2 linked regions of the Caenorhabditis elegans genome follow. The protein of the gene in region 2 interacts with the protein of the main gene of each other region in a pairwise test. Each region holds a gene or a part of one and is shown on either strand. Other genes may lie near its edges. The genes, in order: ubc-15 and pdr-1.

The links.
Region 1: the proteins of pdr-1 (region 2) and ubc-15 interact in a two-hybrid assay, tested with the Caenorhabditis elegans proteins (one study listed by BioGRID).

Annotation. Positions count from the first base shown.
Region 1 is NC_003280.10:2,904,806-2,921,106, forward strand, and holds the start of ubc-15 (Ubiquitin-conjugating enzyme E2 J2), read right to left. Parts: upstream 8,799-16,301; 5' UTR 8,743-8,798; coding exon 8,731-8,742; intron 5,892-8,730; coding exon 5,626-5,891; intron 4,036-5,625; coding exon 3,837-4,035; intron 1,917-3,836; coding exon of another isoform or gene 1,737-1,916; exon of another isoform or gene 1,710-1,736; intron 1,023-1,709; exon of another isoform or gene 1,021-1,022; coding exon 829-1,020; intron 1-828. Other genes in the region: ncap-1 (NECAP PHear domain-containing protein), read right to left, coding at 9,117-9,126, 10,062-10,186, 12,429-12,530, 12,582-12,695, 13,771-13,851, 13,901-13,995, 14,066-14,166, 14,264-14,346; Y110A2AR.1 (Receptor expression-enhancing protein), read left to right, coding at 14,975-15,073, 15,137-15,430, 15,480-15,842.
Region 2 is NC_003281.10:13,769,638-13,781,809, reverse strand, and holds pdr-1 (E3 ubiquitin-protein ligase parkin), read right to left. Parts: upstream 10,292-12,172; 5' UTR 10,280-10,291; coding exon 10,211-10,279; intron 10,166-10,210; coding exon 10,020-10,165; intron 9,930-10,019; coding exon 9,497-9,929; intron 9,451-9,496; coding exon 9,360-9,450; intron 9,081-9,359; coding exon 8,876-9,080; intron 8,823-8,875; coding exon 8,748-8,822; intron 8,702-8,747; coding exon 8,560-8,701; 3' UTR 8,466-8,559; downstream 1-8,465. Other genes in the region: pot-3 (Protection of telomeres protein 1 ssDNA-binding domain-containing protein), read right to left, coding at 839-890, 940-1,187, 1,235-1,582; mdt-29 (Mediator of RNA polymerase II transcription subunit 29), read right to left, coding at 3,151-3,270, 3,380-3,640, 4,084-4,431, 6,463-6,693, 7,042-7,251, 7,747-7,854, 8,293-8,340; cyk-4 (Rac GTPase-activating protein 1), read left to right, coding at 10,587-10,692, 10,737-10,848, 10,899-11,391, 11,442-11,813, 12,001-12,172.

The sequences.
Region 1 (16,301 bases), on a different chromosome or scaffold from region 2:
AAGGGGTTTTCAGGTGGTTTTTACCCCACGAAAATTTGGAAATTTTAGAGATTTTGTTGGTTTTTTACGGTTTTTAGCCCGAAAAATTGGGAAATTCGGGCAATTTTCGCAGTTTCAGGGGGTTTTTACACCGAAAAATTGGAAAATTCGAGAGATTACGGAGGTTTTTACCGGGGAAACCCTAGTTTTTTATCGAAAAATTGAGATTTTTAAGCGGAAAAATTGGGAAATTTGGGCAATTTTCGCAGATTTAGGGGGGAAAATGGGTTTTTAGGTGGTTTTTACAAGAATTTTGGAGGATTTTACCGGGGAAAACCTAGTTTTTATCAAAAAATGGAAGTTTTTACACCGAAAAATTGATAAATTTGGGCAATTTTCGTAGTTTTCCCGGAGAAATTGCCGAAAATTCCATGGAAAAGGGGTTTTTAGGTGGTTTTTACCACAAAAAATTTTAGAGATTTTGCTGGTTTTTTACGGTTTCTACGGGGATTTTCTCAAAATTCAGATTTTCAACAAAAAAATTCCCCAAAAACTCAACTTTTACGTTGAAATTCCCAATTTTAACTGAAAATCCGAGGTTTTTGCCGAAATTTTTGCAAATTTTGCGCTCAAAACTGGACCAATATTGAAATTTCTGTCGGAAAAATAGAGAAATTTGGGTTTTTAATAGTGTCCTGAGATTTTTTTAGCTCAAAATTTCGCCAAAAGTCAAAATTTTCAAAAAATCCGTTTTTTTTAAGCTTTTTTTGCGAAAAAATCAAAAAAATAGCTTTTTTAATGGAAAACTTTAATTTTTTTTCGATTTTTTAACAAAAAACAAAAACTCACACGTGCCGGGAGATTGTTGTCGAAACCGAATCCACGTACAATTGGAGCATTTGGAGCAGCATTTGGTGCTCCTCCAGTTGGAGCAGCATGCTCTGGGAGCATTGTTGGAGCAATATTTGGCTCATTCGGTGTCGGCAGTACTCCGGTCCAATCTTTGACGAATTGTGGAAAGAATCGACGGAATTCGCGGTACTGGAAATTGAATTTTGATGGAATTTCTAGCAATTTTTCTTGGTAAAAAGCGAAAATTTCACCAAAATTTACACTGCAACTTTTTCCTGACGAGGGACGAGGAAAAGTGGTTTCTAGGCCATGGCCGAGGGGCCGACAAGTTTCAGCGGCCATTTATCTTGCTTTGTTTTCCGCCTGTTTTCTTTCGTTTTTCATCGATTTTTTTCGTTTTTTCTTAATAAAACTGATAAATAAATATTTTTTGCACAGATGCTAAAACAATTTCCAAGTAAAAAAATTATGTATTCAGTGGGCAAGCAGCGGTGAAAGTGGTCAATGTAAAATGATGGATTACGGGAATACAAAACCTAAACTTTTTCTGAAACATGATACATATGCTGCTTAGATGCTGAAATTACCTGATTTTCATAACGAGACCGCTGAAAAAGTTTTGAGATTTTCAAAATTAAACTTTTTGTGCAAAAATCTCGACTTTTTCACTAAAAAATTTGAATTTTGAAAACCTCAAAACTTTTTCAGCGGTCTCGTTATGAAAATCAGGTAATTTCAGCATCTAAGCAGCATATGTATCATGTTTCAAAAAAAGTTTAGGTTTTGTATTCCCGTAATCCATCATTTTACATTGACCACTTTCACCGCTGCTTGCCCACTGAATACATAATTTTTTACTCGGAAATTGTTTTAGCATCTGTGCAAAAAATATTTATTTATCAGTTTTAATAAGAAAAAACGGGAAAAATCGATGAAAAACAAAAGAAAACAGGCGGAAAACAAAGCAAGATAAATGGCCGATGAAACTTGTCGGCCCCTCGGCCATGGCCTAGAAACCACTTTTCCTCGTCCCTCGTCAGGAAAAAGTTGCAGTGCGGATTTCCAGCCAAATTCCAGTTGTATACCTTCAAGAAAAATTTGAATTTAAAATTGGCAAAAGCGTGTACAAAACAGGCCAAAGTCTTCTTTGCCAGCCTCTCATAGGACTCTTCATGGCGGTCGAGAAGCGCCAAATCGCCGAATTACACATTATTTATTGGAATTTTAGGAGAGAAAAACCAAATTTTTAGCCCTTTTTCTAGTTTTCCGGGCATGTTTACATGATTTTTCGGCAAAAAAAGCCCAAAAAATCTGGTCAATTTTGATGGAATTTTCGGTTTTTTTTTTTTCAAATTTTATGAGGAAAACTCAATTTTAAGGCCTTTTTTTTCCGAATTTTAAATAATTTCTGTGATTTTTAACGTTTTAAAATGGAATTTTTCCGGTTTCCTTATTTTGTGCAATTTTTTCGCTTAAAAACCTGCTTTTCAGCGAAAAAGTGGCTTTTTTCTACATTTTTTCCAGGGAAAAGGGGGCTTTTGCAGCAAAAATCATATTTTTTCTAAATTTCTGAATTTTTCCACCAAAAGTTCGGCTTGTTTAGCACAATTTTGTCAATTTCAATCGATATTTGCGAAACTTTGACTAAATCTCTTGTTTAAGCGATTGAAACCAGTTTTTCGACGAAAAATCGCTTAAACAAGAGATTTGGTCGACATTACGCAAATATCGATTGAAATTGTCAGAATTGTGCTAAAAAAGCCGAATTTTTTGTGGAAAAATTCAGAAATTTAGAAAAAATGTGTTTTTTGCTGCAAAAATTCCCTTTTCCCTGGAAAAGTGTAGAAAAAAGCCCCATTTTAGCTGAAAAGCAGGTTTTTAAGCGAAAAAATTGCACAAAGACAGAAAACCGGGCAAATTCCATTTTAAAACATTAAAAATCACAGAAATTATTTAAAATTCGGAAAAATGCCTAAAAATTTGGGGTTTCCCCATAAAATTTGGAAAAAACCGAAAATTTCATCGAAATTGACCGGATTTTGGGCTTTTTTGCCGAAAAAATCATGTAAAAATACCCGGAAAACTAGAAAAAGGGCTAAAAATTGAATTTCGTCCAAATTTCTCGGTTTTTGCCAGAAAAAAGTCATTTTTTCACCAAAATTCTTGGTTTTTAGTCAATTTTCATAGATTTGCGAATTTTTAAATCAATTTTTCGTTGTAAAATTCCGGTTTCTTCAATTTTCAGGAGCATTTCGAGCAAAAATTCTCCCAGAATTTTTCGGCTCAAAAATCGGAAAAAAACGCTTTGAAAAAAAGATTTTTGAGTGGAAAAAAAATGAAGAAAAGTCGATTTTCTGCGCAAAAATCGAGATTTTATGTCAAAAATTAGCAATTTTTGTTGAAAAACCCTGTTAAAAGCGATTTTTAGCGAATTTTTCGCATAAAAATGACACGTTTTTAGTGATTTTTTACGGATTTTCTCGCAGCAAAATTCGACACTTTTTTTCTAAATTTCTCACTTTTCCAGACAAAATTTCCGGAAATTTTCCAAATTCCAATAGAAAATCCGCGATTTTTGTCCAAATTTCGGGGATTTTTCCAATTTTTAAGCTCGAATTCCGGAGCTTTTGGCTCAAATTTGCCAGATTTTTCGAATTTTTTACGGAAAATCCCAGTTTTTCGGTCAAATTTTGGCTGAAATTTAAAATTTTTAGGAAATATTTTAAGATTTTTCCAATTTTCAGCCCAAAATCCGCGATTTTTGGCCAAATTTTCGGGGTTTTTTCTCCAAAATTTCACACATTCCAAGGCTTTTGCCCCAAATTTTGGGGAATTTTTGCAATTTTGAGCCAGAAATTCGAGTTTTTTCGCAGAATTTTCCATTTTGGGTTTTTAAAATTCTACATTTTTGCTCAATTTCTGCGTTTTTCAGGTAAAATTTAAGGATTTTTCCAATTTTTTTTTCCAAATTTTCAGGAGCATTTCGAGAGCAGCAGCAGCAGCACCTTAACATTAAACTCTTTGCTCGCCGCCGCATACATCCTCTGATCCTGTGGAGTTCCGGCAATTGATCCGGCAGCCGGCGAATTTTCGTTCATAAATGAATGAAGTCCTATTAGAATTGCAGATACAGTCCATCCGGGATTCCATGATTCCGGATGATAATCAGAAATTGATAGGCATAGGCGGGTATTTGTTTGGAATCTGCAAAAAACACTTTTTTTTTTTTAAATGAAACTTCGACAGAAAATGACTGAAATTTTACCGTTTTAATGACATTTTTTACCATTTTTCAGCGATTTTTTAAAGGAAAATTTGGGGCACTTTTAATGCAAATAATAATAATAATTTTTTTTCGGAGTTTTTTTTTTTTGTTGAAAAATTTAATGTTTTTAGCCAAAAAATGAAAATTTGGGCAGAGGTTCCCCGTAAACGTGACTAAATGGAGCCCATCGGGAATTGTGATGAGAATATCGTAATTCTATTGGCGAATTAACGAGGTTTTGCACATCACAATACTCAATAGATACATCCATTTGCCACAGGAAAATTGAGGTTTTTGAGTCAAAATTTGCACAAAATTGGGCAAAATTTCACATTTTGCCGATTTAAAAAAAATTTGAGGATTAAAACCGTTTTTCACAACAGTTTCTAATCATTTTTTTGTGCTGAAAAATCTAAAAATTTAGCCGATTTTCGATATTTTTCGGGTTTATTAAATTATAAACATTTTTCCTGACAAAATATGGCATTTTTGATAATTTTTAACGATTTTTCGCAAAAATCTCCCAACTTTGGAGTAATTTATCTAAAACTGACCGAGAATCTTAATTGTTAGACGAAAACTTCAAGTTTTTATAAGAATAAATGAATTTTTCCGTGAAAATCTACAAAATCGTCAAATTAGGCCATTTGTAGGTTAAACTTTTCAAATGCAAAACTGAATTTTTTACAATTTATTGGTTAAAATTCTGTAAATTCTGAGAGAATGGAATGTGAACTTTTTTGAATCAAAATCTGAAAAACCAAAGAAAATTGCAATTTTCTCAGAAATTCATCGAGAAAAAATGAATTTCCGGGTAAAAATCGATTTTTTTTGACGATTTTCAATGATTTTTATGTAACTTTTGAGCAAAAATTAATTTTTTTGACGATTTTCCTCATTTTTTCAGCAAAAAATTGATTTTAATCGCATTTTTTGGCCATTTTCCAACTTTTTTGTGCAACTTTCCAGCGAATATGTAAATTTAATCGTATTTTTGACCATTTTATACGCTATTTTCCAGCAAAATTTGGTTTTTTACCGCATTTTCTACCATTTTTCTCGATTTTTTCGATATTTTTCAGAAAAACTTGGTTTTAATCGTATCTTTACTGATTTTTCCGAATTTTTCAAAAAAAAAAATTAGATTTTTTGCATTTTTCGAGGAAAAAAAAAGGATTTTGTGCCGTTTTTGGCTGATATAATCCAATTTTTAAAAACAAAAATGACATTTTTGAACATTTTCAGCAAAAATCGATTTTAATCGCATTTTTCGACCAATTTCAATGATTTTCTTACAATTTTTCGGGAAAATTTAATTTTAATCGTATTTTTGGCGATTTCCAATGATTTTTATTTACAAAAAAGTTGGAAAATGGCCAAAAATGCGATTAAAATCAATTTTTTCTGAAAAAATGAGGAAAATCGTCAAAAAAATTAATTTTTGCTCAAAAGTTACATAAAAATCATTGAAAACCGTATTTTTTGACGATTTTTTTTTCGCAATTTTCGTGTCCGTCCGTCATTACTACCTTCCATTCGGTGTAATCATCGTGATAGCAGGTGGACTCCACGGGAAATTCTCCTTAAAAATCACTTTTCCCCAATAATAACCACCATAGAATGGTGTATCCGGTGATCCACGAAGGCAATAATGCCATTCAAGAATATTATCCTCATTTGGAAGTGCTTTAATTCCATCAACAGGATCTTGCATCAGTTTTGCGTAGTCTTTTTGGAGGCGTCGAACGGCTGAGCTGGATGCTGTGCCAGCTGCTGGTACGGATACGCCGGGACCCTGCAAATAATTGGGAATTATTAGGGTAAAAACACCCAAAAAAAGTAGCGAAAAATTGAAAAATTTAGGGGTTTTTCCATTTTTATAGTGGAAAAATCGAATTTTTTAAGAGTAAAAACACCAAAAAATTAGCCAAAAATTGAAAAATTAGTGGAAAAATTGAAAATTTTTGGTTTTTTTGCCAGAAAATTGGGGGTTTTTTGGAGAAAATTTGAAATTTTTGGTTTTTTCCAGAAAATTTTTTTAAAATTTCGAATTTTTTAGGGTGAAAACCCAAAAAATTAGCGAAAAATTGAAAATTTAATTTTGTGAAAAAAAAAGTGAAAAAAATCATTTTTTAAGCCAAAAATTTCCAGTTTTTCCGAATTTTTGCTCCGAAAACTGTCGTATTTTAGCAGAATTATTAAAAAATTCTCTGAAAAATCGATGAAAAAATTAGGATTTTTGGCATTTTTGCCGCGAAAAATTCCAATTTTTCAGAAAAAAAAATCCAAAAAAATGAAATATTTACTGGAGGAAAATTATAAACTTTCAGAAAAAATCAATATTTATTTGTTAAAAAAACAATTTTTCTGAAAAATTCAACATTTTCGAAAAAAAAATCTAAAAATCAAAATTGATCTGTTTTTCCTCCAAAAAATTCAAAACTATAAGAAAAAATTAAAAATTCACTTTTTTTCAGAAAAATTGATTGCTTGGTTAAAAAAATTGAGAATTTTTAGGGTAAAAACCCAAAAAATTAGCGAAAAATTGAAAAATTTAGGGGGTTTTTCAATTTTATAGTGGAAAAATCGAATTTTTTAAGGGTAAAAACACCGAAAAATTAGCCAAAAATTGAAAATTTTTGGTTTTTTTGTCAGAAACTTGGGGTTTTTTTGGAGAAAATTTGAAATTTTTGGTTTTTTCCAGAAAATTTTTTTTTTGTAAAGCTTGAATTTTTTAACAGAATTTTTTGATTTTTTCAGAAAATTTCGAATTTTTTCAGAAAATTAAAATTTTTTGATTAAAAAATTGAATTTTTAGAGTAAAAACACCCAAAAAATTAACCAAGAAATTGAAAATTTTCGGGGGTTTTCAATTTTATAGTGGAAAAAATTGAAAATTTTGGTTTTTTTTGAAAAGTTTGATTTTTTAACAGAAATTATTGATTTTTTCAGAAAATGTTGAATTTTTTATGGTAAAAACCCAAAAATTAGCCTAAAATTGGGCAATTTTGTGGGTTTTTCCTGAAATTTTCGGGGAAAATTGGAATTTTGGTTTTTAAAATAAAACATTGATTTTTTAAGAAAATTTTGAATTTTTTCAGTGAATTTTTAATTTTTTTTAGAGTAAAAAACCCAAACAAAGTAGCGAAAAATTGAAAATTTTTGGTTTTTTTGCCAGAAAATTGGGGTTTTTTTGGAGAAAATTTGAAATTTTTGGTTTTTTCCAGAAATTTTTTTTTTTGGAAAGCTTCAATTTTGAACAGAATTTATTGATTTTTTCAGAAAATTTCGAATTTTATAAAATTAAAATTTTTTGATTAAAAAATTGAATTTTTTAGGGTAATAACCCAAAAAATTAGCGAAAAATTGAAATTTTAATTTTGTTAAATTTCCAATTTTTCCGGATTTTTGCTCCGAAAACTGTCGTATTTTAGCAGAATTTAAAAAAAATTATCTGAAAAATCGATGAAAAATTAGGATTTTTGGCATTTTTGCCGCGAAAAATTCCAATTTTTCAGAAAAAAAAATCCAAAAAAATGAAATATTTACTGGAGGAAAATTATAAACTTTCAGAAAAAAACAATATTTATTTGTTAAAAAAACAATTTTTCTGAAAAATTCACCATTTTCGAAAAAAAAATCTAAAAATCAAAATTGATCTGTTTTTCCTCCAAAAAATTCAAAACTATAAGAAAAAATTAAAAATTCACTTTTTTTCAGAAAAATTGATTGCTTGGTTAAAAAAATTGAGAATTTTTAGGGTAAAAACCCAAAAAATTAGCGAAAAATTGAAAAATTTAGGGGGTTTTTCAATTTTATAGTGGAAAAATCGAATTTTTTAAGGGTAAAAACACCAAAAAATTAGCCAAAAATTGAAAAATTAGTGGAAAAATTGGAAAATTTTGGTTTTTTTCGATAAGCTTGAATTTTTTGAAAATTTTTAATTATGTTTTTTTTTTATTAGTTTTTTTGAAAAGTTCGATTTTTTAACGGAAATTATTGATTTTTTCAGAAAATTTTGAATTTTTTTATGGTAAAAACCCGAAGAATTAACCAAAAATTGGGCCATTTTGAGGGTTTTTTCCTGAATTTTTCGGGGAAAATTGGAATTTTGGTTTTTAAAATAAAACATTGATTTTTTAAAGAAAATTTTGAATTTTTTTAGAGTAAAAAACCCTAAAAATTAGCCAAAAATTGAAAAATTGGGGGATATTTGGTTTTTTAAACAGAAAATATTAATTTTTTCTGATAGTTTTGAATTTTTTTGAGGAAAAACAGATCAATTTTGATTTTTAGATTTTTTTTTCGAAAATGTTGATTTTTTTCAGAAAAATTGTTTTTTTTAACAAATAAATATTGTTTTTTTCTGAAAGTTTATAATTTTCCTCCAGTAAATATTTCATTTTTTTGGATTTTTTTTTCTGAAAATGTGGATTTTTTCGCGGCAAAAATGCCAAAAATCCTAATTTTTCATCGATTTTTTAAAAATTCTGCTAAAAAAAATCCGAAAAAACTGGAAATTTTTGGCTTAAAAATTGAAGTTTTCCACATTTTTTTCACAAAATTAAATTTTCAATTTTTTTAAATGAGAATTTATAATTTTTAATGATTTTTCGTTTAAAAAAAAAACTCACCAAATTCAGCATTTTCACCAGATAATCGATTCGGTTTCACCAAGTTTTTGGCGCCCCAAGAGAGTGATCTGGACGGAAAATTTGATGAAATTAACCGAAAATTGGCGAAAAATAGATAAAATGCGGTGAAAAATAACCGTTTCCGGGGAAAAAATAGCAAAAAATCAATAAAAATGACTGAAAATTGTCCATTTTTGACGGAAAAAATCAGAAAAAAGCAGGGAAAAATCACAGAAGCTATTAACAATTAAAAAAAAATTCGAAAAAAAAATGAAATGGGACAGGAAATTTCAATAAATTAGCGATGGAAAGCGTAGAGAAAAGGTGGAGAGAGAGAAGTGAAGAGACGCAGACAGTTGTACGGAGAAGAAAGATGACGTCATCGCTTAGAAATCTCTGAAAATTTGGGGATTTTTAGTCGGAAAAATGGATTTTTTGGGGAAAAATCGGGATTTTCTAGTGAAAAATCACGAAAAACTGGAATTTTGTGTTAAAATCAGTGATTTTTACTCTAAAAATCACTGAAAAACTGATTTTTTGGTTGAAAATCCAATTTTTTTCGATTAAAAATCAAATTTTTGGCTCAAAAATCGGAATTTTCAGTCTAAACTCATTTTTAAACGGGGTTTTTTTGGAAAATTTCGAGTTTTTTGGCTGAAAATCCAGAATTTCAGGGATTTTTAGCTGAAAATTGACTGAAAAACGATAATTTTCAGCGGAAAAATAAAATTTTTGGTCTAAAAACAACTTGATTTTCTAGTGAAAATCCAGTTTTTTTTCAGTGAAAAAGTGGAAAAATCTATATTTTTTCAGGCAAAATTAGTGATTTTTGATCGAAAATTGATTTTTAGTCTAAAAAAAAGTGTTTTTTTGGCAAAAAGTTCAGGTTTTCACGTAAAAAACTAAAAACCTCAAATTTTTGGCTTAAAAATCGGAGTTTTTGTCGAAAATGCTGTGTTTTTCTTGTGAAATAGCACTAAAAACTGAATTTTTACCCCCGTAAATCCACAGTTTTTCGAGTAAAAATAGAAAATTCAGGGATTTTTTGTGTGTGAAAAATTGAAATTTGGCCATTTTTCAGAATTTTTGGCCTTTTTAGGCGATTTTCGGCCTTTATTAGGTAATTTTTGGCCTTTTTTCGGTGATTTTTATTAATTTTTAGCGGGAATTTCCTCAAAATTTGAGATTTTCGGCGATTTTCAGATAATTTTTGGCCGTTTTTCGGTGATTTTTAGGTCATTTTTCAGAATTTTCGGCCAATTTTGAGGATTCTTTGGCCATTTTTTGTGAATTCCATCAATTTTTCACTCAAAAACGAGCAAAAAACTGACAATAAATTGCCAGACGTCGCCGTTGTGCTCGTCGAAGAGCTCGGAGCCGGCGGTGGAGCAGCAAAAGCAGAAGACAGAGAAGATGAAGCCGTAGTGGTGGTGGTGGAAGGACGAGAGTTTCTGATCTGAAAATTGGGGAAATTTTAGTCGAAAATATACAAATTTTAGAGGAATTTCTATGATTTTTGAGTGGAAAACTCGAATTTTTGAAGAAAAAAAGTTGATTTCGAGCAAAAATCCGTACTTTTATCGCATTTTTTGACTGAAAATTGCAAATTTGGGCTTAAAAATTCGAATTTCAGCGTTTTTAGCTACTTTTCGGAAATTTTATGCGAAATTCTGACGAAAATCATAGTTTTTTGGCAAAATTTCGACTAAAATCATGAATTTTCGAGTTTTAAAATCGAAAAATTCGAATTTTGTGGCTTCAAAATGGCAAATTTCACGAATTTTTCAGATTTAAACCGAAAAAATGGGGTTTTTTAAGATTTTTTTCTCAGAAAATCGCAATTTTTTTCAAAAAACTCGAAAAAAGCATAGTTTTTGGTGAGAAAATGTCTAAAAACCCAATTTTTTCGGCCAAAAATGCGATTTTTCAGCCAAAAATCGCTGAAAATTCGCGAAAAAGCACGGTTTTTCGGCAATTTTTTTTTGGAGAAAAAGGCATATTTCACGAACTTTTGAGCAATTTTTTGAGTGAAAAATTCGAATTTTCACTATTTTCAGCTACTTTTCTGAAATTTTATGCAAAAAATCTGCCGAAAATCAAATATTTTTTGGTAAAATTTCGACTTTTTTAAATCGAAAAATTCAAATTTTGCGGTTTGAAAATGGCAAATTTCACGAATTTTTGAGATTTAAACTGAAAAAATGGTTTTTTTTGCATTTTTTATACAATTTTTTTCAAAAAGCTCGGAAAAAAACCCTTTTTTTGGAGGAAAATTGTCTAAAAATCGCGCGAAAAACACACAAAAATGTGGGAAAAAGTGGAGAATTAGAGAAGCAGACGGAGGATTTTCAGAGAAAAAAAAACCAAAGAGGCGCAGAGATTCCGAACGAAATTCGTCACCAATTTCCATGGAAACTCTGAGCAAAAAGTGGAAAAAATTGCACTTTTCAGCAATTTTTAAGCTAAAAATTGGATTTTCCGCGATTTTAAAGGTTAATTTCCGATAATTTAGGCTGTAAATTTCAATTTTTCAGCCAAAATACTCGAAAAAATCAAAAATTTCGCCGGAAAAATGCTGAAAATTCGATATTTTTTGAAGTTTCAGTCAAAAATATCGGTTTTTTTAGCATTTTTCCGGCCAAAATTCAGCTGAAAATCACATTTTTTCCACAAAAAAGTCAATAATAATCTTGTGATGAGAAAGATAAGAAAAGTGGTGAAAAAATGTCAATTTCCAGCGAATAATTGGGAAATTTCCTCAGATTTTATACAATTTCAACACTATTTTAGGCTTTTTCAGCCAAAAAATCAAATTTTCGAAGATTTTTAGTGAAAAATTAGCAAATTTCGGCGATTTTTCCACAGAAATCGACCAAAAAATCCAAAATTCAGCGAAATTTTTAAGATTTTCGGCTAAAAATTAACGAAATTAGCTTAATTTTTATCCAGAAAATCGATTTTTTTCAATTTTTTGGAGCAAAATACTCAATTTTTACAGAATTTTAAAGATCTTCAGATGTTTTTTGACTAAAAATAAATTTTTTTAGCCGAAAAACCACTGAAAATTCAGTTTTTAGCATTTTTTTTCCAGATTTTTCCACTGAAAACTGATTTTTAAGCCATTTTTTCCAGATTTTCAGCTAAAAATCAACGAAATTAGCTTAATTTTATCCAGAAAATCGATTTTTCCCGATTTTTTGAGCAAAATACTCAATTTTTTCAGAATTTTCGAGATTTTCAGTCAAAAATTAACGAATTTAGACGTTTTTTAGCTGAAAAACATGCAATTTTTCAGATTTTTCCACTGAAAACAAAAAAAAAACGATTTTTAAGCCATTTTTCCCAGATTTTCACCCAAAAATCACGGAAAATTCAGTTTTTCCGGCAATTTTTCAGATTTTTCAGGCAATTTTCCAGATTTTCAGCTAAAAAATAACGAAATTAGCTTAATTTTATCCAGAAAATCGATTTTTCCCGATTTTTTTGAGCAAATTTTCAAGTTTTTCAGCTAAAAATTAAGGTATTCAGACATTTTTCAAATGAAAATCTACTTTTTTAGACGAAAAACCACTGAAAATTTAGTTTTTAAGCCATTTTTCCCAGATTTTCACCCGAAAAATCACGGAAAATTCAGTTTTTCAGGCAATTTTTCACATTTTTCAGCCATTTTTTCCAGATTTTCAGCTCGAGCTCCGTACCATTGAGCCGGCACCTGGCGGCGGTGGAAGCAGTGGCACTAGGCCTCCAGTAGATGCTCCAGGAGCCGGACGAGGGCGGGAAACTGCACTTTTATCCTTTTTCTGCAAGAAAATTAGGGTAATTTTCAGAGATTTTCAGTCCGAAATTCGTACTCCAATGTTAATTGAGATGGTTTGTCCCTCTTTAAATGCTAAATCCAAGCTTGGACCGGCAGAAAGATCCTGTTTTTCCAGTTCGGCGCTTCGTTCGATATAACGAAAGTGATCCTGGAAATTGGGCGGTTTTTTTGGGACTTTTTAGTGAAATTTTGGGAAAAATTGGAGAATTTTGAGAGAAAAACCGAGAAAATCGGGTGAAAACTGACTTTTTGAGCGATTTTTGTGAAGAAAATTGAGAAATTCAGTGATTTTTTGGGAATTTTTGGTGAAAAATCGAGAAAATCTGGTGAAAACTGATTTTTAAAGCGATTTTTGTGAATTTTTCAGGAAAAATTAGTTTTTTTTGAGGATAAATGGGGTTTTTCGGGAATATTTGATGAAAAATTGGGTTATTTTGAGAGAAAAACCGAGAAAAATGGGTAAAAATTGATTTTTTGATCGATTTTTGTGAATTTTAGCGATTTTTTAAAAGGTAAATTGTGATTTTTTTGGCGCAAAAAAAGTAATTTTTTTCGAGAAAAATTGGGTTTTCTGGGAATTTTTCGCGGAAAAAATGGATATTCTCCATGAAATTTAGTGATTTTTTGGAATTTTTAGTGAAAAATTTGGATTTTTCAGAGAAAAACCGAGAAAAATGGATGAAAACTGATTTTTAAGCGATTTTTGTGAATTTTAGCGATTTTTTAAAAGGAAAACAGGATTTTTTCGAGGAAAATCGGTATTTATAGAAGGAAAAATTGAGAAAATTTAGATTTTTTCGTAGAAAAATGGGCTTTTAGTGAATTTTTCAGGAAAAATTGGAATTTTTAGTGACTTTTTGCAGTATTTTTTGTTGAAAATTTGATTTTTAGCGATTTCTTCGCTGAAAATTGATGAAAATCTATGAATATTGGGGGTTTATAATTGATTTTTTTGAATTTTTAGTTAAAAATTATTAATTTTCAGCATTTTTTCGACTTTTTTTTTGAAAAAAACGGGATTTTTCATGGAATTTTCCAATTTTTCACCAGAAAATTCAATTTTCCGTGAATTTCCAATGATATTTCCTCGAAAAAATGCGGATTTTTCAGATTTTTGAATAAAAATCGCAGAATTTATCGATTTTCGGTCAAATTTCCCGGTTTTTAACGTAATTTCCACTTCAAATCCTCGATTTTCAGCATTTAAAGCCACTTTTACGCACTTGAAGTGTGACATTAAAGTCAAAAGCATCTCCTCTCTCCTGAAACCCGCATCCCACGAATGCCTGCTGTCCATTGTCGTTCTAAACGTGAAAATTTTGAAATTTCAGGGCTTTTTTAAGCCAAAAAAACCTGCAAACGAATCACAAAATATCGAGAACTATCGGAAACCGCCTCAATTGCGTTGCCAGGGTGCGCATCGATCGGGCATTTCGCGTATAAATCGCCTGAAAAATGAAAAATTTCGGGGTTTTTATTGATTTGATTGATTTTATTGATTTTCCGAGGGAAAATTACAGGTTTCTCCGTCTTCTAAACGCATTTCCAGACGTTTTCCGATGGCGACAAGCCGCATTCGTCCCGTCCAAGCCGGGCTGTCGAGGTTCCAGTCGGCGGCTCTGAAAAATAGGGATTTTATAGCGAAAAATATGGATTTTTACGTTAAAAATAAGATTTTTTACCTTAAAAACCACTTAAAAACCCTCAAAAACTCACTTATGACCGCTGGTTCCGATCGGCGGGATGCGATACACGAAAACCTTGGGTTTTACCATTAAAACGTTCTCGTAATCTCCCATGATTATCGATTTTTCTCGCTGAATACGGCCAAATACTGCCAACAACGTGCAAATTAAGTGTGTTGAAGCCTTCTCTATCGACTTTTTTTTCGTCGGTTCAGCGGAAAAATCGGCCACGTCCGCGCCGGAAGTGAGCGCGAGATTCAAGTTTCGAGGGTTTTTTCTGTAAATTTTGCGAGAAAATCGACGAAATTTGGCTCAAAATCGAGAAAAATCGAGAAAAAAGTCGAAAAAAATTCCTGGAATTAAATTTTGTTTTTAAAGGCGCATAGAGTTTTTATAGTGGTTGAGTCTCGCCACGAAAATTAAAATTTTTGTAATTGTCTGTAGTTAAGCCGTCAATTTTGTGATTTCTGACGTAGATTTTATGAAAAATCTGTTTAAATAAATTTTTAAACCTTTTTCATTAAAAATCCATCAAAAAATTAAATTTTAAAAGCAGTTTTAGCCTAGAAAATGCTAGAAAAAGAAAACAAATTTTAAAGGCGCATGCCCAAATCCACTCTTCTGGTCTCGCCACGACTTCTGTAAAGACACAAACTGCGCGGGATTTTCGCCTATTTCCACTCGATTTTCTCCGAATTTTCGACTATTTTCGACAATTTTCCAGCTTCTACTCGTCAAAAAAATGTCATTTCTCGCTCGTGGGCTCTCGAATCTCATCGGAATAGTGGCGCCCGTCATTGGCTCGTTCAAAGTGCTGAAAAAGCCGACGAAACCGAGATTGGTTGGTGAAATGCCATTTTTTACGCTAAAAATCGCACCAAAAACCCGATTTTTTGATTTCCAGATCGAATGCATGCACTATTGGACAATCTACGGCTCATTCCTCATTGTCGACTGGTTCCTGAGCACTTTCTACGTCTCTTGCTTCATTCCGTTCTACGATTTCTTCATTCTCACGTTCACAGTGCTCATGGCGATTCCCCACATTGGATTCGCCTCGGTTCTCTACACAAAGTTCTTGGCGCCGTTTCTGAGGAAATACGAGCGCCGAATCGACAATATTTCCGCGAAATTGATGGATAAAGTGTGGGAGAACATGCCGATTGTGGCGAGCGCGGTGCCGGCAGTTTTGGCGTCGGTTAGTCGGAAAATAATCGGATTTTTTAACTTAAAATTGGTTTTTCCAGGTCGTCGCAACGCTTAACAGTGCTCCAACTCCAATTTCTCAGCTTGAAATCGAAGAAATCGATAGCTCAATGAGCCTGGACCCGGAGCCGCGGCGCCGACCCGCAACTCGAACCCCATCTCGCTCGGAGCCAATCTTCCTCGATCAGAGCTTCGAAATCCAGGATGACGAGGATCTGAACCTCGGCGGCGACGACGTCTTCATCCGCCAGATCAAGCAGGAGATCGTTGAGGAGGACCTGGAAATCGAGAATCCCGCCGACGCGACGCCACCGTCCCCGCCGAGAAGGCGCTCAACAATGCAGACACGTCGTCAGCTCAGATCTGTGCAGCAGCAGCAGTTCCGCCATGGATCCGTTCAATAGAAGAAGAGAAAATCAATTAATTATTGACCATTTATTCGCGAATTTTCCTGTATATCACTAACACCTACCTTTTACCCTATGATCCTCGTGTATGATTGCCCTGGTTTTATCAAAATATGAACTGTGAATGTATTTAGAGCCCCGGAGAGCGGCTAAAATCAAAAATTCCTATAAAAAATCTAGAAAAAACCCCCTTTTTTACAGATTTTCCACTCAAAATTCCCCGAAAATCCGACGATTTTCTGAGGAATAAACAAATGTCTACACTTCCTCAGCTGATCATCTCCTGCGTCTCTTCACCGGACGGCGCTCTCTCGTCCCTCCACACGCCTGCGTCTCCTATCCCTCTCGAGGGGGTTCACGTGCACTGCCGCCGTCAAACACCCAACACCCATTTTTTTCGCCGTGAATCACGAATTTCATCACTGTTTTCGACGAGTTTTACTGGAAAATTCGAGA
Region 2 (12,172 bases):
CTCGATATGCTTCAAATCCTGCCGCTTATTGCACCAAAAAGTCTTCTGGTCGCCCACCACTCCTTTCTGGTAGAGACAAGCGAAAAATCGTTCGTCGAGCATTCAATTGAACAGTGACTTGCTCGAAAAGTAGGAGCGAGATGAACCTGCCAGTGTCTGTTGAGACCGTACGTCGTGTCCTTCGAAGTCCCAGTTTATCAAAAGACGAAAATTAATAAAGGCTAATTTCATTACCGAAAAACACGGCCAAAATCTTATTCAGTTTGCTAAAATCAGCCAGAGAACTAACTGGAGACAAGTGAGGATTACGGTATGATCATTCAATCTCATGTTTTGGTCTCAGATCATCTTCAGTGGCGAGAAAAAGTTTAACTGTGATGGTCCTGATGGCTACCATGATTACTGGCACGATTTGAGAAAAGAAAAGATGAACTGAAACCAAAAACTGGGCTTGAATGACTATACCTTTTTTATAGGTAGGGCACTTTTTGCCTGCACAAATATGAGCAACCAAAAATAATTTCCAAGTTTTTAATGATTTGTTGCATATTATTTTAGCGATTTCTTTTACAAAGAAACCGCTAAAATGATTATTAAACGCGCGACCAGATCATTCCGCATAAAAGCGCCTCCCTTTAAAGTCGCAGAAGTGGAAAAACAAATGCACTGTATAATGCTGAAGAATTTTAAAAAATACTGCATTCCGAACAATCGTTAACAACACAATAAATATATTAAAAACCAAAAACAAACATGTGAGATACACCGGTTTGAACCGAAAATTACAGAAAAAAAAGAAAACGATATTTAGACGAACCGCCACGCTTTCGGTGTTCCTTTATTGTGGAAGATCACTCGGCAAAGGGTCCTTGTGGATGTTCAATTGAGGCCTGAAATTTAAAAAAAAATCTTTTTTTTTCAATTATGAAACCGACTTACTCTTCAGGAACACGATTTTCAGTAACTTCTTCCGGCTGTTGGAACTCGATGAAATTTTCATCGTACAAAACATTTTCCAGCACAGATTCCACCTTTCTCTTGAAATTTTGAAAAGCATCAACTTCGAAGTCGACTGGAACTGTCGAGATTCCACGTTGATATGCCTCACCGCCGCCGTGAAGAATTTGAATTTCTCTATGTGGTGTGGACGCTGCGTGCACATTTTGAATAGCCACGAAATTACCGGACTGCAAGACTATTGGTTAATATATAGAAGATGAATTAAAAGTGTTACATTTAGACTCACTAAATCAGCTCGATGCTCGTCGTAAACATTGATCTCAATCAGATATTCTTTCCCAAATTCTTCAATGGCTTTTCCAATACGCGGATTCGGCGGAACGATGTAACGTTTGAAGGAAAATTGAGTAACGTGAAATAGTTGTCTTTCTCGTCTCTCTTTGATGCTTTCTGGTCCGAATTTTTGAGCCCTCCACACTCTCAGCATCCATAAACCGTCCATTGTTTCGACAACAGAGTGAACTTGGGCCAGTAGATCAAAATATTGGTGAAAAAGCTTATAATATCGATCATCTTGGAATTTACAAGCAACAGCAAGACGACACTCGAGCGGTGAAAACATTTTCACCTGAAACATAGTATTACGGAAACATAAAATTCTGAGAATGCGTATTGCACAACATATTTGACGCGCAAAATATCTCGTAGCGAAAACTAAAGTAATTCTTTAAATGACTACTGTAGCGCTTGTGTCGATTTACGAGCTCATATGGATTGCAATACTAATTTTCAGAACATTTTTGACTTTGAGCTTACTAGTTGTTTTGTTTTTCTGAAAAAGTCATATGTAAAAAGTCAGAAAATGTAATTTTAATTGTAGCATGTAAGTTCAAAACTTCTATCTCGTAGAAATGTTGTCAAAAATTGTTACAAAATAGGTAAAAAATGTTGATGGAATCCTGAAATTAGCGAGACCCGTTTGCAATTTAAAAAAAGTAAAAGCAAGACTATTAGGGAGTGCAAGACTAATAGGGAGTGCCATACTAATTTTCGAGAGGTCTCCGAGGGGCAATACTAATAGGGAGTGCAATTCTAATAGAGAAGACGTAGTAATAGAAAAAATACGGTATTTATCGATAAAATATTGAAACTCAGTTAAAAATGAGAAAATAATTTCAATATCGCTCAATTTCATTCATTTCATTTTCCATTCATTTCAAAAAATCGAAAAAATCAAAAATCGACACCACCGCTACAGTAGTCATTTAAAGAATTACTGTAGTTTTCGCTACGAGATATTTTGCGCGTCAAATATGTTGTGCAATACGCATTCTCAGAATTTTTGAGGTCATATAATACACGGCCCGAGAAGTGGTACCTGTACGCAATTTGTCTACCGTATACCTGGACGTTTGGGCGCGTGTATCTCAAAAACGGTTGGTCCAGCTTTTTTGTGATGCATATAAAAAATGTCCGAAATTAAATTCTAAATTTTTTGGACCAAAGCTTTTTTCGTTATCACGCGCCCAAACCTGGTCTACACTCAAATTATCAGTAGAGCGCATTTGCATGGATGTACCACTTGCCGGGCCGTGTAATAATTTTAAATTTCACATTTTAAAGTACACATTTTAAACCATTTACATATCTATTTTCTTCTCAAAATTAGTTTTTTTCTAATAAAAAATTATCGTACTTAAAAATCTGACTCAATTCAAATTTTTTCTTTAAAAATGTGAAATTCATTTTTTGGAAAAAAACTATTTTAATGACAAAAAGATAGACCGAAAATAACTGAAGAAATTTTTTAAATTTGTTTTATGCTGTTTTAATAATTTGGTATTTCCCTTTTCAAATGGTGTAAAAGTAGATTTACCGGAAAACTGTCTGAATTAATGAAAAACGGACAAATCTCAATTTTTTTGAGAGATTAAAACGCATATTTCAGAGAAGTAAGTGATTTTTATTATTATTTTTAAACAAGAAGATCTCTCATTTTACATTGGAAAATCAATTCTCAGAGAAAAACGATAATTGAGCGATGAAAACACACAAGAAATTAAGAAAAATAAGATTTAACATTGAGAAAATGATTTTCTGAAATAGATGCAAATTATCTTTTTTATTTTACAGAAATGTAACGCTTTTTTGTATTTGAGAACAATAGAACAATCATTAAATAACTAATATTTACTCCATCATTTCGACGTCATCATTTTTGTGTTGATCCTCCCATTTCTTCTGTCGTCTTCGCATACTTTCCATTGAAGACGTCACACTTCCAATTGTGTCGTCGAACATTCTTTGTACCTGAAAAATTAGGAAAGTTTGACTTTTTTCAACGATCCTCCTTCGCAACGAATATTTGTTAGTGTCCAAACATCTACCAAAACACAATTTTAGCCTGAACCCTGCTTACAATTTCAGTATTATCCACAAAATTCTGCACAGAATTGACCATAACCTCCCCGTCGAGATCTCGAGAGCTCCGATCAAAGAACACTTTGTCAAGTTTGCTCAATTGTTTCGCTGTCTCCAATACTGTCGTCAAAGTACGGTCAATTTCATCGCAAACCGCATGAAAATCGTTCGTGGCTCTGCTGTACTGAGCTTTTCCATCCTCGTTCACTTCTCCTTCTTGTTTCTGACGCACAAGCTCCGCACCGCGTTTGTTCATTTCCTGAATTTATTTATTCGATTTTGTAATCAAAAAATTAATTGATTATGTAAAAATCTGAAATAATCGAATAAAGATATAAAAATGGTTTTTTATTCAAGAAAAACATGGAAATTTCATTTCTCTGTTTTCAAGTCAAAATACTTTCTTTTTTTCGATGAGGTTTTTTTTCGATTTTTTCTTTTTAAAAAACAACAACTTTTTAAACAACAAACAATTTTTAAACAACAGCTAAATATGTCAAAAATTTCAAAACAATTTTTTTTTTCTGAAAAGCCATTAAAAGTGAATTTTTCTTTTTCTTTGTTTGACCAAAATAATTGATGCTTTGAAAAAAAAAATTTGAAATAAATTTTTCTTACATATTCTTTCCTAAACATTCAATTTTATTCAAACCTTTAGTTTTTTCTATTCTTCAAAATTCCAACAAAAATTGTAAAGCTTACCACCAACGAATTTCTGAGATCCTTTTGCACCAAATTTCGAACCAAATCCACAGGATCCTGAACCATTCGAATTTGCTCCTCATTCGGTTTCAGCGGCTCTTTGGAGCTCTGCGCACCGGCCACAGTTGAGCCCGACGCTGCAGATGGCGGTGGTTGAACTGATGCAGGCGGCTGCTGGCTTGCCGGAGCCTGAATCGAGCCTGGATTGAATGTGGAAGCCGGTTGGACTGAGGACGGAGCCTGTGTTGAGCCTGGTGGCTGCACGGAGCCGGGTCCGAAGACTTGAATCGATTGGGGTCCTGTTTGGGAAGCTGGCCCGCCGGGAGGTATTGAACCTGGAGCTAGAACCTGAAAATTTTGAGAGGTTTTTGTTTTCTAAATTTTCGAAAAAATGTTATTTTTATTTTTCAAATCATTGAAATTTAATGTTGAACTTTTTTGGAATTTTTTTTTGTATAAAAATTTTAATTTGAAAAAAAATCAAACTTTCACTTGAAATGCCAAATAAAGTAATTTTTATTTAAGAAATACAATTTTTTCAAAAAAAGAAGATTTTTTCCTGTTTATCATTGAAATTTTTTCACTATTTCGTTTGAAAAATCTCAAAAAAGAACCTTTTTTTACTCCTAAAATACGGGAATATTCGAGAAATTTCTAAAAATTTTTAGAATTTTCGAATAATTTTTTAAAAATGTTTATAAATACAGTGCTCCACATAATGATACGGCCACCCCCAAATTTTGGTATAACTCAAAACTGGGTTGAGATAGCAAAACATAGTTTCTTGTGAAAATGTTCGCTGTACTGGCTAACTTTCAGATAAGTATTGGAAATATACCTGAACCGTTCGTAAAAAAAGATAAACCATTTTTTCATGAAAAACCATATAAAAAAATCCACAAAATGATACGGCCACCCTTGGTTTTTGTTTTCTTTTTTCGTTTTTGTTTTCTTTTTTCGTTTTTTTGCAATTTTTTTTGCTAAACGTTAGGTTTCATGTTCGTTTGTGTTTTTACAGCTATGGGTCGTGGAATAACTTTAACTGACTACGAAAAAGGACAAATTGTGCAAAATTATCTCAAGGCTTCTCGGATCGTCAGATTTTTCGTGATTTGAAACGTTTGAGAGATATGATCACTCGATATGCTTCAAATCCTGCCGCTTATTGCACCAAAAAGTCTTCTGGTCGCCCACCACTCCTTTCTGGTAGAGACAAGCGAAAAATCGTTCGTCGAGCATTCAATTGAACAGTGACTTGCTCGAAAAGTAGGAGCGAGATGAACCTGCCAGTGTCTGTTGAGACCGTACGTCGTGTCCTTCGAAGTCCCAGTTTATCAAAAGACGAAAATTAATAAAGGCTAATTTCATTACCGAAAAACACGGCCAAAATCTTATTCAGTTTGCTAAAATCAGCCAGAGAACTAACTGGAGACAAGTGAGGATTACGGTATGATCATTCAATCTCATGTTTTGGTTTCAGTTCATCTTTTCTTTTCTCAAATCGTGCCAGTAATCATGGTAGCCATCAGGACCATCACAGTTAAACTTTTTCTCGCCACTGAAGATGATCTGAGACCAAAACATGAGATTGAATGATCATACCGTAATCCTCACTTGTCTCCAGTTAGTTCTCTGGCTGATTTTAGCAAACTGAATAAGATTTTGGCCGTGTTTTTCGGTAATGAAATTAGCCTTTATTAATTTTCGTCTTTTGATAAACTGGGACTTCGAAGGACACGACGTACGGTCTCAACAGACACTGGCAGGTTCATCTCGCTCCTACTTTTCGAGCAAGTCACTGTTCAATTGAATGCTCGACGAACGATTTTTCGCTTGTCTCTACCAGAAAGGAGTGGTGGGCGACCAGAAGACTTTTTGGTGCAATAAGCGGCAGGATTTGAAGCATATCGAGTGATCATATCTCTCAAACGTTTCAAATCACGAAAAATCTGACGATCCGAGAAGCCTTGAGATAATTTTGCACAATTTGTCCTTTTTCGTAGTCAGTTAAAGTTATTCCACGACCCATAGCTGTAAAAACACAAACGAACATGAAACCTAACGTTTAGCAAAAAAAATTGCAAAAAAAACGAAAAAAGAAAACAAAAACCAAGGGTGGCCGTATCATTTTGTGGATTTTTTTATATGGTTTTTCATGAAAAAATGGTTTATCTTTTTTTACGAACGGTTCAGGTATATTTCCAATACTTATCTGAAAGTTAGCCAGTACAGCGAACATTTTCACAAGAAACTATGTTTTGCTATCTCAACCCAGTTTTGAGTTATACCAAAATTTGGGGGTGGCCGTATCATTATGTGAAGCACTGTATATTTCTTCTCTGTTTTTTTAAAATTTTTCAATAAAATCCGAAAATTTACCGATCCAGGTCTTTGAATGCTTCCGGGTTGTTGAATATGTTGACTTTGCTGAGACCCCGGCCTTGATAATGTCTGCTGTTGTGGCTGCAAATGCATTGGGTACTGATGCTCCATTTGTGAGCCCGGGAGCCCGGGTGCACCAGATGTGTGTTGTAAATTGACGGGAACCGACGACGGCGGAGCAACTGAGCCTGGACGTGAGACGTGTGTTGGCGGAAGAGACATTGGTTGCTGAAATTACATTTTTTTTTCAGCTAAAAAAGATTGTCACAAATTACTTTTATTTGGAGATTTATGTTTGAACGGCCAATTGTTTTAGATTGGTTTTTTTTTAATTTCCAACAAAAATTCTGAACAAAATAATCGGAAATTTGAATGAAAGTAGAGTTCGGAAAATGGGGATTTACTTTCAGTTTTAAAATACTAGGAACATTCCATATGCTGAAATACCACAAAAAAAAGAAAAGAAAATGAAAATTCCAAAAACACGAATTTCCAACTCTCACTAATTTCCCCTTTTTGAATTTTTTCCAAATATTTTTTCAATAGTTCTAAGTTTTATCAGAAATCTCCCCGTACATTCATGCCCATTTGCTGTTGCATCATCTGTGGAGTGGTCGGATTTGCGGCAGTGGGCACCGACGAGGGAGCCTGAAGCTGTGCTCCAACTAGAGGGCTTCTCGGTTGCATTTGTCCTTGTGGTTGAAGATGAGGATGCATTTGGAGATGAGCACCTCCCGGCGAGCCTCCTTGTGGTACCATTTGTGGAGTTCGAGCTCGTTGGTATGGCTGAAAATTGTGGTAAATCGATATTTTACAGAATAATAGGTACTTGTGTATTATACCCCCGCCATTTTAGAAATTAATTAAATTTCCATTAATTTATCCGTTTAAATTAAACGTGATACCCATTTTCCTTGTTAGGCTTAGGAATGGTGTTTTCCTAAGCCTAAAATTCCACACGTTTTTATTTTATAAGCTAAAAAATTAATTTTTAAAATGGCGGGGGTATAATACACAAGTACCGAATAATATATGTTTAAGCGCTTTTTATTTGTATCGTAGTGTTATTATTTACTATTTAAAAAAACCGAAATGGTATGTTTCCTATCAAATTTCTTTAGTTTTAGCGATAAAATACGCTAAATCTGTTTAATTTAATGTTTTAAAAAATTTCGATCAGAAATTTGCGGAAAAAATCATAAAATATTTTAATTTTACGTTAAAAAATTTATCAGAAAGTGCTATTTCAAATTTTCGATAAATTGGACGGTATATTACTACCTGTTGAGCCTGTTGTTGTATTTGCTGTTGACGTTGCTGCTGCATTTGTTGTTGCTGCATTTGTTGCTGCCGCATCATTTGTTGCTGCTGTTGCTGCTGCATTAACATCTGAAATGTTTTTATTTTATAATCTTTTTATTCCTAGTTTAAAATTTGGTTATATGGTTTTAAAAAAGCTCTGAAAACGTCTTAAAATGAAACTTTAAAGGATATTTGAGTGAGAAATTTTCAAATTTCAGTTAAAAAATGCGGTGAGTTTTGTTTTCATGAAAAAGTTGTTTTTTTAATTTTCATGAAAAAAATAATTTTCAGCCCACTCCAAAACTGAGATATATCCCGAAGCTCAAGAAATGTTTCCATGTTGGTGTGATTGTACATTTTCATTAATTTTTTTTGTTCCCAAAATTAAAAAAAAGACATTTTTTGACTTCAATTGTTTTAAGGATGAAGCCGTAGAAAAGTGTGAAATTTTTCCGAAAAAGGTTGTAAAATGTGCTCAAATTCACTAAAATTTACTCTCAAGTTCAAAAGCACAAAAAATCTTACATGTTGTTGCTGCGGCGTCATACTTGGTGGAGGTCCTTGTCCTGACATGTCTATGGAGATCCCTGCGAGAAATGTGTTCTTTGAAATTTGGCAAAACATTTAAAAAAAGGTATGAAATGAGCGAAATACTCAGCAACAAAAATTGAGAAAAAGATCTAAAATTTGAAGAGAAAAAATGTCAATGTAACTTCAGACACACCGTAATTGTTGTAAAAATCTACAGAATAACACGTACAATCTCTAGAAAAGATGAATTTTAGAGAGTTATTAATTAAACCAATGGTCCCATTGACACTCTTCCTTCCATTCTGTCTTGCACTTGAAACACCAATCCATTCCACACGAGGTACAGTGAATGTGAGCACATCCGCCGTTCCGTTCGGTTGCCACGTGGCATTTTGGGCATCTTCTGGAAGAATTTACAGTTTTTTGTAGTGGATAATCGCTGAGATCACCTTGTAGTCGCGTCAATTGTAGTTCGGGTGAGATCGTCTTCGCTCTGGCACACACAATTTCTTTCGAAGCACTTTCTGAACGATGATATTTATTGCGATAAAATTTCCGATTTAGAAGCTCAAAATACCTGCAAAACGAAAAAAAACAATCTGGACACTGGGATCTTCCATCGTCATCATAGGGCTCCCAGAAGAAGCTCTGCCCACACGAGACATTCGGGCAAGTCACACCCTTGTCGTCCACGGCAATCAATCGCTCGGTGGCTTTCCGTTGGTATTCGCTGTACGACGTCTGACCCATAATGTGGAAATGGTGCACATCTTGTACCACTCCTGAAGTTATTTTTCAATTAAATGTTCTGTTTAATTTCTTTAAAACTTTTTTTTTCAATTTTCTCGGCATTGAAAAACTATTGAAACATGTGAGAAAATTTTCAAAATAAATTTAAATAGAACGGGTGGGGGTTTTTTTTGCAAAAAAAAAACCATGCCAGACTTGCAAAATGGAAACATAACATATTTGTATTTTTTGGAAGATTTTTTGTTTCTATCAATTAGTTTTCAGGATCACTACTGCAGAAAATTGAATGGTTTTGATAAAATCGAACGAACTATTGCACCCTGGATAGGGGCAGAAAATGGTGAAGCCATGCGGCGGCTGATTGACAAAACCGAATCGTTCCAGTTGACTTAGCAAATAATCCTTTAAAATTAAACAATTTCAACAAAAAATTTAGATTCTTACTCACTCTGAAACAGAATTGGCATGTAATATGATTGCATCCGAGGTCGAAGATCACTTTCTCCTTCCCATCACAAACACAGCACTCGGTCATTTGCCAATTTCCGCGTACGTGAGTTAGAGCTGCGGCCGGATCGTTGCAGGCTAGACATTTGAACTTGAATTCAGCGAAAAGACCTGGAGTACAGCATTCTTCGCAGACCGCCGGTATTCTCTTGCTTTTGAGAACGTCGGACCAGTTCTGGGGTTCAGATTTGACTAGAACAGAGGTTGACGAGCATTTTTGGCAATAAACCCGCAGTTTGCCGCGCTTGACGTCGTCACAATTTTTGCACCACACGTAGAAGCTTCCGAGAATTGAAGAATCTGTTGTTATTTTTGCAGTAGTAGCACCGTTTTCGTTGTGACTATTGAACTTTGGACGGAGAAGCATGATTTGTCTGAAATAATATTATTTGAATAACAATTCCAGTTATTTATATAAATAACAATTCCAGTTATTTATATAAGTAAATATTTACTTGACCTACGTTGCAGGTGTCAGTGACAAATCCCTCATAATCGTTGATTTTGATAACTTTTTCCCACAGAAAACCACTTCCAGCTCATCGCTGGGAATTTCGGTGAGCTTTTCCACATCTTTTGTGAGATCTTCGATATTTCCAGTTATATTTATCTGAAAAAAATAATGTATATATTCAAAGTTTGAAATGTCCACTACATTAAGTGTTAGATTCCTACGTTGACCTGTTTTTCTATCTTGTATTAATATAGAGATTTCATCAGACATGCTTCATGAGAGCTGAAAATTTGACTTAGAAATTAACAAAAAAATTTCCTGCTAGCGGGCCTGCTTGCAGTTTTAAACATTAAATTCAAAAAACTAGTCGAGGCCTTGAAGCCCCATGTTTTTGTGCACACTAGTCCTCGCAGTCATGTGCGCCCTATGGCAAGCGTAGCGGGTCGCGTCGCGTGTGAGACAAACGCAGCGAGCTTCAAATTCGAACTGTTTTCCACGAAATTTGAAACGGTTTTCACGCATTTTTCTCTTATTTTCGGGCGAGTTTCTCGTTTTCTAATCATTTCCACATTTTAGAATGAAGTCCAGTACATCAAAAGAGAAGGTGTGCGGCGAAAACTCGCGTCACATTTTCAACATGATTCTAAACTCACAGCGACCGCAATTCGATATTAAGGATATAGGTTAGTTTCAATTATCATTTTCAAATTTTAATGACGTGTTTCAGGAATGTTTCATTTGATTGATGAGATTGAGCGTCTCCGCAAGCTGTGGAAAGATTCCGAGGAATCCAAAAAGCGGCTGAATGCAGATATGAGAGAGGCCGAAGAAGCACTTGCGTAAGTGAAATATTTCATGTTTACGTGTTTAGAAAACACTATTATTTCAGAAAAGCTCGCAAGAAGCTGGCAATGTTCGATATCGATGTCAAAGACACTCAGAAACATTTACGCGCGTTGATGGAAGAAAATAAGGCGTTGAAGCTCGATCTAAACGTCTACGAGACTCGTGAAAAGCAGCTGAAAGATGCGATGAAGAACGGTATATTCAATAGTCTCACCAAGGAAGACCGCGATCAGTTCAAGTTTCTTCACGAGCCACTGGTCCGGACATACTCGAAACGGGTGCAGCAGAGGCATCCACATTTGATGGAGGACACACAGGACGATGAGGACGATAGTGAGGTGGATTACGATGAAACTGGAGACAGTTTCGAGGAAGTTATTCATTTGCGCAATGGAAGAGAGGTCAGAAGAAGCTCAGCTGCTGGAAACGCAGTTGGTGGCAAGCGGAGAAGCGCGTCAGCACATGCGATTACTGCTGCTGCCAATTCGAAGAGGAGCAGAAGCCGTGTTATGACAGCTACTATAGATGAAGAGCCGGTAAAAATTATGACATGACAGTTTTTGTTGAATTGCGTTTGTTCTTTCAGAATGAGGGTGGTACACCTCCAAAAAGATGCCGTGATGATGGTTCTACACCTCATCAAGAAATGACAACTACCACCACTACCACCACCACCACTACTATTCATAACTCTCGAGCTCAGAACCAGGACCCGCCACGTGTCTCACTTCACCGCCAGCTCACCCGCAGGAGCTTGAGCTGTGGAAGTATTCCATCATGCGATCAAACACCAGGACAAACCACAAATAACATCGGCCTCGGCATGTCGTCCGCCATTCTCACCAAAAGCACACTTGATATCCGAACCCTGAAACGTGGCACGCCGGCGTGGACTAATGGAACAACTCGTGACATCGCAATGAGACCACACACGTTTATAGAGGCAGGAATCAAAGCGGTACGTGTAAAAAATGCTAACAAATTTCTTTAAAGTGAGCTCTGTAGTGATGAAAATCATGCTAATCATGAAGAGGCGCGTCCGTCTCGGACCCCATGTTGCAAACATCTATTTCTGAACAAAGAATTCCTATTTTTTCTGTTAAACATGAATTGCCACACTGTTTTAATACCTTTTTGATTTTCAGATGCGAAAATGCGACAAATGTGCTACAGCCCTGAAGCTCGCCACATCAATGAAATGCAGAGACTGTCACCAGGTTGTCCATCGTAGTTGCTGCAACAAACTTCATCTCCCGTGCATACCACGCCCCAAGACGATGATGACGCCGAAATCCGCATTACGTGGAGCCAAGCCGG